Neodiprion lecontei: one gene and its partner. The protein of the gene in region 2 binds, or shares a complex with, the protein of the main gene of each other region. Links are inferred from orthologs where the notes say so. Each region holds a gene or a part of one and is shown on either strand. Other genes may lie near its edges. The genes, in order: uncharacterized protein LOC107227980 and tRNA-splicing endonuclease subunit Sen34.

Evidence for each region.
Region 1: the proteins of tRNA-splicing endonuclease subunit Sen34 (region 2) and uncharacterized protein LOC107227980 are in contact, whole or in part, in a crystal structure (PDB 6Z9U), measured with the Homo sapiens proteins. The link is inferred for Neodiprion lecontei from reciprocal best matches to the Homo sapiens genes TSEN34 and TSEN15. Residues at the interface, in NP_001070914.1 of Homo sapiens: Pro251, Leu252, Arg253, Phe254, His255, Ala256, His257, Tyr258, Pro265, Glu266, Asp267, Thr268, Ile269, Pro270, Leu271, Gln272, Leu274, Ser283, Val284, Arg285, Lys286, Thr287, Leu289, Leu290, Cys291, Ser292, Gln294, Val300, Tyr301, Thr302; in NP_443197.1 of Homo sapiens: Leu70, Lys74, Trp76, Thr108, Pro109, Ile110, Thr111, Ala112, Ser113, Leu114, Ser115, His116, Asn117, Ile119, Arg120, Leu123, Leu141, Ile143, Val151, Tyr152, Tyr153, Lys154, Leu155, Thr156, Asp157, Gly158, Phe159, Met160, Leu161, Pro162.

Annotation. Positions count from the first base shown.
Region 1 is NC_060261.1:8,991,460-8,997,336, forward strand, and holds uncharacterized protein LOC107227980, read left to right. Parts: upstream 1-1,754; 5' UTR 1,755-1,949; coding exon 1,950-1,973; intron 1,974-2,113; coding exon 2,114-2,195; intron 2,196-2,607; coding exon 2,608-2,779; intron 2,780-2,864; coding exon 2,865-3,096; 3' UTR 3,097-5,263; downstream 5,264-5,877. Other genes in the region: serine/threonine-protein kinase N, read right to left, coding at 5,838-5,877. UniProt on the Homo sapiens protein: Non-catalytic subunit of the tRNA-splicing endonuclease complex, a complex responsible for identification and cleavage of the splice sites in pre-tRNA. It cleaves pre-tRNA at the 5' and 3' splice sites to release the intron.
Region 2 is NC_060264.1:17,183,737-17,188,678, forward strand, and holds the start of tRNA-splicing endonuclease subunit Sen34, read right to left. Parts: upstream 3,310-4,942; 5' UTR 3,295-3,309; intron 1-3,294. UniProt on the Homo sapiens protein: Constitutes one of the two catalytic subunit of the tRNA-splicing endonuclease complex, a complex responsible for identification and cleavage of the splice sites in pre-tRNA. It cleaves pre-tRNA at the 5'- and 3'-splice sites to release the intron.

The DNA of each region.
Region 1 (5,877 bases), on a different chromosome or scaffold from region 2:
GCTGTAACTTTTGATGCGTTGATCGCAGCGTATTGGGACTGCGCCCAATCGATTTCTCTCGCAAAACTACGTCGGAATGGTGCATGAAAGAATTTATTCCAGCACTTTTCAAAATCGCGAAAATTTTCGCCAAAAATGCAAAGGGGTTAGCCTTGCCTTTTTTTTAGCCGAAAAATTTTTGGTCCCTGATTCGATTTAAATGACCCTTTCCTGACCATTTGGACCCCTAGGAACTCAGAAAACGCAGCGAAAACAGCGTGGGATCAACAGGAGAGAAGTTACGAAGGAAAAAGCACCTGCTGAAAAATGTCGAAAACACAGGTTCTCGTTTTTCGGCTGTAACTTTTGATGCGTTGATCGCAGCGTATTGGGACTGCGCCCAATCGATTTCTCTCGCAAAACTACGTCGGAATTGTGCATGAAAGAATTTATTCCAGCACTTTTCAAAATCGCGAAAATTTTCGCCAAAAATGCTTTTTTTTTAGCCGAAAAATTTTTGGTCCCAGATTCGATTTAAATGACCCTTTCCTGACCATTTGGACCCCCAGGAACTCAGAAAACGCAGCGAAAACAGCGTGGGATCAACAGGAGAGAAGTTACGAAGGAAAAAGCACCTGCTGAAAAATGTCGAAAACACAGGTTCTCGTTTTTCGGCTGTAACTTTTGATGCGTTGATCGCAGCGTATTGGGACTGCGCCCAATCGATTTCTCTCGCAAAACTACGTCGGAATGGTGCATGAAAGAATTTATTCCAGCACTTTTCAAAATCGCGAAAATTTTCGCCAAAAATGCAAAGGGGTTAGCCTTGCTTTTTTTTTAGCCGAAAAATTTTTGGTCCCAGATTCGATTTAAATGACCCTTTCCTGACCATTTGGACCCCTAGGAACTCAGAAAACGCCGCGAAAACAGCGTGGGATCAACAGGAGAGAAGTTACGAAGGAAAAAGCACCTGTTGAAAAATGTCGAAAAATACGTGTGTCGTCATGGGCCGTAACTCTTGATCCGTTGCTCGCAACGTATTAGCACCAATTGTAAGATAGCACCACCTTCCTTTTTATTCCTTGAATTTATCGAAACTCAACGGTCTACTCTATTTAGCCTACGAAACAAACTGGTGAGATTTCATTTGTAACTCATCGAGATTACAAGTATGTGATATGCGATGCTGGGTGAACTGTGGTACTGGCATTTCCCATGAACAATTAAGTATGAATATTCAGTCGAGGATTGTTAGTGTCACCTTAGATGTGTTGAAATCAATCACATCAGGTGTTGTGATGCATTTATAATTCACCGCAATTCGGAAATGAAAAGACCGGACACGTATGTTAGTCACGTCAAAATACCTTATGTAGTCATCTTTCACTGATGACATAAGTACGCGAAATAAATACCAGGTTAATTTTCATTACCGTTTCATCATTCTATTCCAATAAACAATTTTTATCAGAAGTGGTGAAAAAACAACCGCCTGACGCATCGTATTTCTGCAACCTGCGATACACGAATCATTCGGATCCTGCATACACCGACCTGATGATGGCGGACCCTGTTTCACTTGTTGTTCACAATGAGTTTTGACGTTTACACCAGAGATGAGTTTCTGGTGTTACTCGGTAGGAGAATGCAGCCAGCATCATGTCGAAATCGGCCACTCTCAGATGTTCTGCAACAAGTTCTCAACTCTACCGTCGAAACATCTCTGGAGGCGCAAGCGCACAACGATTTTCGTTAGTCATACCAAAGTCCATTAGGGAAACTGTCTTTATATTGTTCAGTCAAGGCATGTACCGATCTGAAGATGGCGGACTCTGTCTCACTTGTGGTCGACAATGAATTTTGACGTTTTCACGTGAGGATTTTCTGTCACCTCCGCTGTTGCAGTTCAGACTTTATATTTACCACGCCATTTTAAACGCATGACAAACGTATAAGGCCCAGTGAGCATAATGTATAGCACGTGTCATCCAGCAGTGAGTACTTATTTATCGGTTGACATCTGGAAATTCGCATGTCAGGTGTTAGAATGTGGTCAGAATAAACATTCGCTCACTTCAAAACCACTTTCTACGTCAGAGACTACGGAAATTAACTAATACGCTCATTCTTTCAGTTTTGCGATATAGAAAAACTTGGCTGCACGAATGCTCTGCAAATCACGATTGCATTTCAAACATACATAGAACTGTGCGAAGGTATGGATATACTCACCGACTTGATTAAATAATTGTGATCCAACACATCAGACGAAAACGTCTGGTGGCAGAGAATCTACTATTCTAAGAGAGTTTCATCTAGTTATGAAAGTTTTATCTTATTTTTTTATTACGACACATGACTTCATGTAACAAAATGATGGTTGTTTGGCAGTTTTTTATACCACAATATTCGTATAATACGAATCTAAAACGATTGGTCCATTTCTCTTTGTTATTTTGGTATTTTATCGCTTAAGCATGCTCATATGTTTACTGCTAATTTGTCTTCAGGACAGAATTAAGAACGCTACTGTAGGTGTAACACGAAACATTCCTTTCATTTATGAATCTTGCAAAATCTAAAATTTCAAGTAGCACGTTTTATTTTCATTCCTATTACTGGTTTTAGTGAAACGGTTTTGGGACGTACAGTACAAGTATAACAAATCACTTGACTTGATCTATCTGGAAGCTTGTGCAACCAAATCATCTCCATTGCAAAAATACATTCCATGGCCAGCAGTAAATGCCATATCTTTGAATCATATCGAGCAAATGCAAAAGGAATTGAAGAGTGAACGGTAACTTTAGAACTTACTGGTACCATGTCTTCAATCATTTACTTGTTGCAGAGAATGGACTGACAATAATTTATATTGTTTGTAGATTGACACTGGTTTTCGTAGAGGGAGACAGTACCAGTATTTATTACTGTGTTTCAGCTGGACTTGTAAAACCGGCATCGCCAGAACAAAGCAAAGAGTACAAAAAGAGGCAAGAAAAGAAAATTGAATTGGAAAGTGAAATAAGAAAAAATGCTTCAAATCTCTATGAATTAGCTACTTCGGTAGAAAGTAAAGAGAGTCAAAGCAATCCTGAATTGTCTGCAGGGGATTGAAACGCACAGTTCATACTTGAAATATAAGTCAAGCAGAAGAATTGCTCCGTATAAAATTATTTAAAATAATTGCAGTCAAAGAGTTTTTTTTCCTTGTATTTATTGTATGCATAATTTTTCTTGGGCATATTATAAGTTTATAAATTTTAGAGTTATCACTAAAAACTACGCAATTAATTAATATAATATTGTATCAAGCTGCCACTGCAATTATACGTATCAAATAAATTAATACTTTAAAATCATCACGTAGGCATCATGGTTATTAGTTGTTTAGTATATAAACTATAAAGTATGAGGCACATAGTACAGTTTTCTTTGTCATAACAGGTATGTTGAATATTAGGGATAGTGTAATGAATGCATCACCGAACACATCTTAAGATTAAAACCTAACAATGTTATTAGGTAAATGTATGTAAAAATTGAGTAAGGAAACGTTTTTACTGTACTAGTAAAAACTTTCAAAACAAGAAGTTATATGACTATCTACAATTGAAGATTTATTGGGTATTTCATGTTGTAATTTATGTTATATACACCATACGAATTTGTTATTTCCCGAATACATGTTAATATGTGCTTCTTTTAGAGTCACGTGCAAATTATTTGATCGCGTAACTATACAGTTAAAAGTGGAAGTAATGGAACTCAACATTCAAAGTGATAAATCTTATTACTTGTTAAATAGACAGTTCAGTCATGATCGATAATTATTTAATGCTTCCTAAAATAGTAAACAACGATCAAAAAAATATGATGATTAATAATAATAAATCAATCGAGAAGATACCGTAACGTGAGTAGTTTGGTAAGAATTGCTCTAGCTTAGAAATAAACGGAAAGATTATTTGTTTCCCGGATAAGTGTTCAGTTTTGGCAGTTCAAAGTTGCGTCGATGATATAGAAGCAAAGTAGGTGAACAATGCCTGCAGAACAATATATTAGTATTTAGCTTATCAAGACGTGTTACTGTAATTATCAATAATTGTTGAAATTATTTCAACACGCATTCAAAAATTACAATTTTCTTCATATCAATGAATCGAGGTTGACATTAATACAAAAATCACATATGTATTAGAATAAACTATGTTCTTGGCAACAACTTATACTACGATTATGATTCATTATGTTGGATATGCAGTTAAAATGATTTTTCTTTTTTTTTTTTAATTTTATTTATATTAAAATTATTTTACTTTTGACGAATACGATCGTAATCTATATCTGATCGTTTACCTTCATTTTCTTATAAAGTATAGAATGTATCCTGTGAGATGATTTCTAAAAAGGTATTTAAATTAGGCCGCTAATTAATCATACCACAGTTGCCTAATCACCGAAGGTACAAAACTGGATTAAAACTCCATAATGGGTCCATCAGATGTTTTTATGATAAAGTATAACGTGAGCACCTCCTGATATTGATCAGTGTTGATTATAATATATTATAAAAATGCTTTATAAAATAGTTACCAAATAATTTTTATTTCTTATTTACCATTGTATTAATTTTTTAATGCAATAAGGCAACTATTCATCGAGATTTTCTCGAAACTATCACAAATATTTGCATTATTTTTATCGATCAATTTTTATTGTTTTTATTTACCAATATCTCACGGACAGTAATTTAAGAGAACTGAGCTTTTTGCTCAAGATAGAAAAGCAACTCCGAAATCACATTCAATATTGTTATAGAATATCAGATTGATTGGTATGAATTTACCAAAATAAGTCCTAGTTATTTAACATGGTTCTTGCATGATTTGTTTTTTTATGAGAAAAATTTTATAACTTCATCAAAATAATCCGTAACCTTGATCATTGCTTTGATTGTCAATTGTGAAAAGTAAAACTGATACCACATAACCTGGTCCAGATTTAATAGCTTAATAAAAAAATTGCCTTTGAAATGAGAAAGACTTGTGTTTGTAACAACTAATTATATTCTCAATTCTTATATTTTATCATACTACATAAAACATTTCTCAAGCCTGTAAATATTGTCAAAAGTGAATGTATTACATCAATGCACTTTGTAACTATGTTGGCATTTTCTGAATTAAACACATGAAACAAGCATGGACTACGTCGACTTTTTTCCCACAATTTTCGACACCTACCGTTCGAAAGTTCAATCTCCATTTGAAACCAATGCAAGGAAAATAAACAAAGAAAAAAAAAATAAATAAATAAATAATGAGCGACAATTGAGGGTCAATTTTTACTTTAGTGCTGTGATCTTGACAGCAAAATTCAAATTGTGCATTGATCAGTTATCAAACAGGCTGTGAGCAAATAGCATAATTATTATAACTTCCGTCCTAACGAGCAAGTTTTCTTTTGGCCAATACAGAGTTTATACACATACTTTCATAAAATTGAATTATACACTTTTGCTGGTAGAAATTTTATCTTTTTATAATTCAAAGGCAATATCTCATAATAATACAATTAGAGGACTTAATTTTTACATAATCAATAATCGCAAATGTGCAACTGTAGTTGAAAAAATAATATACAATTAATTGTTGATTCATGATTGTGTGTGAATTATTAACTATGTCGTACACATAGGAAAGAAAACGTGCTGGCGTGGAGAATATTACATTGGAATTACCTACGTGTTGGAAGCAAATTATATCACTGCAAAATAAATTTTGTGAATGAAACTTATAACTCTTATGCGAATGAACACTAGAAGACTACATAGTCTGCCTCTGTAGCGATTGTAGCTAGCACCAATCGGCCATGTATGTGAAATCTCTGAAGAAG
Region 2 (4,942 bases):
TTTTTTTCTAATTAAAAAGAAAATCACATAAGGCCACTAAGAACTCGAAATGAAAATCTGACAAAATTAGAGATGTTTTTTTATATTCGAAGCCATTAACGTAAAAAATCCGTTCAACGACCATCCTAATAGATATACATTGTATATGGGGCATTCCGCGTCAAATTTGCAACCCATGTACCTCACCCTCTTCGATTTTGATAATTCTTTAGTATGATGTTACAACCACGGTTTCAATCGACTTGAAACAGTGTCGGAATTTTTTGCAGATTTCTTTAGCCACCACTGAAAGAGAAAAAAAAATGAAAAACCAATTCCGGAAACGCTTCTTTTAAAATTCTGAAAAAATTCACACTGATTTTATAATTAAAAATATGATTTGTAAGCATGACAGGACAACGTGATCTCAACATTCACTACTTTTCTAGCAAGCATTTTTTTCTCATGCCGGAATTGGAGTTTCTATTTATTTGTTCGGTCATAAATTTCTCTATTATTAATGGATATCAATTTTTCTGAAATTTAGAGGAATGCCAGAAGGCCTGAATACAGTTCATACCATTTCATTCTTTTTTTTTAAGTTATCCAAAGATCCAAGAAAACCAAAAACTTGCTAGAAAAGTAGTAGATGTTAAGATCACGTTGTCCTGTCATGCTTACAAATCATATTTTTAATTATAAAATCAGTGTGAATTTTTTCAGAATTTTAAAAGAAGCGTTTCCGGAATTGGTTTTTCATTTTTTTTTCTCTTTCAGTGGTGGCTAAAGAAATCTGCAAAAAATTCCGACACTGTTTCAAGTCGATTGAAACCGTGGTTGTAACATCATACTAAAGAATTATCAAAATCGAAGAGGGTGAGGTACATGGGTTGCAAATTTGACGCGGAATGCCCCATATACAATGTATATCTATTAGGATGGTCGTTGAACGGATTATTTACGTTAATGGCTTCGAATATAAAAAAACATCTCTAATTTTGTCAGATTTTCATTTCGAGTTCTTAGTGGCCTTATGTGATTTTCTTTTTAATTAGAAAAAAAGGTAATTTTATAATATCCGGAATCTCGCCTATTGACAGTGGTCTCAGATAGGAAATATCCTCAGGATTAGGAAAAAAATAATTAAAGAAATCCCACCTGTGCGCAAAATTGTTAAGAATCGATTTGAATACCAAAAAATTAAGGAAATTTGGAAATTGAGGAAAATGTTTTCCCAAAAAAAAAAAAGAAAAAATGATCGAAAATGTGTACTATATTCTTGGGCACTAGAATGGAATTCCCCACACATCTTCTTCCTATACAATCAAAAATAAAAACGTCTGACAATTCAAGGAAAATTAAATAAAGTATAAAATACGACTACAGGTCCTTCCCTTTTTTTCTCTTCTTAATCTATAAAGTAAATAGACGATCGTCAAACCTGCCGGTTTTTCCATACATGTAAAATAATTATGTAATTCACTTACCATCTTGCTACCTCGAGAGCTGCTGGCACTAAACTGAACACTGTGAAGCCTCTCAACTGGCTGCGAATATCAGAAAAGGAGAGGGGTCCATACATTGTTGCTACTGAAATAATTTTGTCGTTCCGATCTCGCATCTCTCAAACTTCTTAAGAAATGCTCGTCAAGACTGATATAAAATGGGCGTTTTTTTTTTAATAAGGAAAAGTTTTGACAGTAATGGAAAATAGAGATTACTAAAAACAAATGTATTGTTTTTTAATAACACCGGCCCAATTAAATTTTAAAAGGCTTATGGCTGAATAAACTTCAGATTTGGGTTTAGCGGACCAAAATGCATAAAAATCATACTTGGTCTATAGTTCCATAAATTTTTTTCTTACCAAAAATGCTAATTTTTGGCGATTTTTATGGTTTTTTTGCAATTTACTCAAAATTTTGAGGGTGTACGGGCAAAACTGACTTCAGATTCGGATTCAGCGCGTCAAAATACATAAAGATAGGTAGGTCCGGTCAAAAGTACAGGCCACTTTTTTTCTGTGGGCCGGTGTTATTAAAAAACAATACATTTGCGTTTAGTAATCTCTATTTTCCATTACTGTCAAAACTTTTCCATATCAAAAAAGAGGCGCCAAAAACGCGGAACAAATCGATTCGCTCTCGGAATTTTATTGTTTCAATTATTTGTTCTCTTCCGGGTTACCCCCACTACAAAAAAGGTGGGTTCAGTAAAAAAAAAAGCAAAAGGAAAGAAGGAAAAAATCGACCGGCTCTCGAAATTTTCTTTCTTTGATTTGTTTTTTCTCTCCGAAAATACAAAAAAAAAAGCCGGGATTGAATTTAAAAATAAAAAAAAAAAAAGAGTGAACTGCGATCGAACCCGTGTCCCGCATCACTCCATCCTCATGTTTTTTTTTTTTTTTTTGAGGAGGAAACCATATTTATTTAGATGAACAATAAATGCTCAATATTTACAATATTGCACTTGTAATTATCTTAGTTTATGTAACTCCGGCTTAAATTTTAAGCTCGATCTAACATTTTGTTTTACATTAAGTGGTTAACTTATTTTTTAGTGTTTTGTTTAAGACTTGAATGCAGTATTATAGCAAAGGCAGTAGTAATTAACTTAAATACAGGAAAACTTCGCGCAAAAACCTGTGATTGAAAATTCATCCTCATGTGGTATCCACTCAGCCACACCACAGCTACGTCCGTGATCGCGCGTTTGCTCGGTATGTTTATGGAGCTTGCTTGGAATTCGCTGATGGTTCTCTGGAAGATTCAGTTCGAGAAAAAAAAAATTTCCTCCAACCACTTGCCCATTGCACATTTTGCATAAATGTTATCGAGCTGGCTTCGTATATTTTTCCATAGACAGCGCGTACAAATATTCGAGAACACCAGGCGTCACATATTTTCATATCAATAAAAAAATAATATTTATTAAAAAAAAAGAAGTATTCGGGCTGGGAATGGTTAATTATTTTGGTTCAGCGTCCGCTAATTGAATCCAAAATTTATCAAATCTGGAGATACTTTTATTCGCTGACATTCATAATTGAAACAAAAAAATCCCAATTCTTGCATTCCTGGAAACATTAGTGCGAGCGGGGACAAGGATGCGATTGGCAACCGCTTGCTCGAGCGACCGAGTATATCTATATATGCACGATTGTGGGCCACCTTCGGTGCATGGCCGCCTAGGTGTCAGGTCGGAAATGGGCCACCTTCGGTGCGTGGCCGCCTAGGTGTCACGTCGACGCTCCAACCTAGCTGGTATCACGAAAAGCCGAGCGTTGGAGATCTCCCTACTCATCTCTGGTAAAACCACGGTGTCACATAGAGGTCTTGCAACGAACGTGGTGGGGGGTGGTCAGTTCACGTCCGAAACAAAAGTACAACTTATGGCCACAGGAGCAGCGCTACGAGTTATTCATAAGCTTATTATTATTATTTGGCGGAACCCTAACCAATCTCTTTGATACTCATGACAGATAACCTTACGTGTAATGTCACTCAGCCCCCTGACACAAGCTGCTAAAAGTGGTTCGCAAAATGTCCCTCGATTCTTCCGCCAATCTCCACCACTACTGGCGCTAGTAGTTGTCTGACGAGCTTGCGTGCGGTCAGCGAGGGCAGCGAGCGTGTCAGAAGTCTACTAGCGCCACGTAGAGGAACTAAAAAACGGGGACAAAACGCGTACAAATTTTTAGTAAACGAGCAATGGTGAGTGTCAGGGGGCTAATGACACTTATATGCCTATGAATAACTGACAGCGCTGCGTAGTGGCCAGTAGTGGCAAAAAAAATTTGGACAATAACGCGGCTACCTCAGCCACTCAAATTTCAGTTCGCTGCAGGACCTGTACCTATATATACAGAGATATAATATAGTCTATAAATATATCACGAATAGCACGGCAGACAGCGAAACTTAAATGAGATATCGGCAAATTTTGAGGTGTCCGTTAATTGTTTGTAAAATTGACAATGATTATATTCAAAATTACCTGGAAGTAGTATATTTCTTCTTTCTAACTTGATAAATTTACACAAACTTAACATAGTTGTTATTCAAGAAGCCCGCGCTCCTAATTGTCAACGGAAAACCTGAAGTTGCTCGCTCTTGAATTTAAATCTCAGAAAGATGAGTATTTCGCATGTTTACATACATGTATTGGGCATCTTATATGGTACAGAAGAATGATTGTGTGTTGCTAGAACGAACCAACAAGATGGTATTATTGTTTTGCCTGATTACTTGTCACCAATGTTGAAGAATTAACAAAAATTACGCAGTGCCTTTATTTAGAAGACTGTATGAATACATGTACACGTTGCAGCAAATCGCCACGGAGTAAAGGTAAATGTTGAAAAAATTTTAAACCATCGACGCCGATATTTTATGTGCAACATATTCCCGGCTTGCAACGGCATTCGACGCGTATGTAGACTTAGTTTTTACCAGTTTTTAGACATAATTTCACTTGTTTTTTCAGGAAAAGAAATAATAGATTTACGTATCTACGAGTAATGGATAATTTATTCGCATTTAGAGTGGACCGTAGAGAGAAATAATTTCGACCAAATTGGAACTACAGAAGCTAAGGTATCAGCAATTCGAGAAAAAGTTTAACAACTAGAACTTTGAATATGGTTAAATTCTAGTATTTCTCATGTGATTCCTATGCTTTCGGGTTTATTTTCTCACGATAGAAATCTCCAGAGATTTCCGGAAAAGTATTTCACAAACGGTTGTCCTCAGTGTAGATGCAAATAGATTTGTGTGAATACAGTACAAGTGTTTGTCAACAATCACATGTGCGTGTTATAACCGTCCTATGATGTAAAATTTTGGAATGTTTTTGAAAAAATTTGTGGAGATCTAGTCAGCGGTCAAAAGAATCCCAAAAACAATAAAACCTGATCAAAATCACAAGAGTTTAGTCATTTTGAACTTACTAATTTTACAATCGT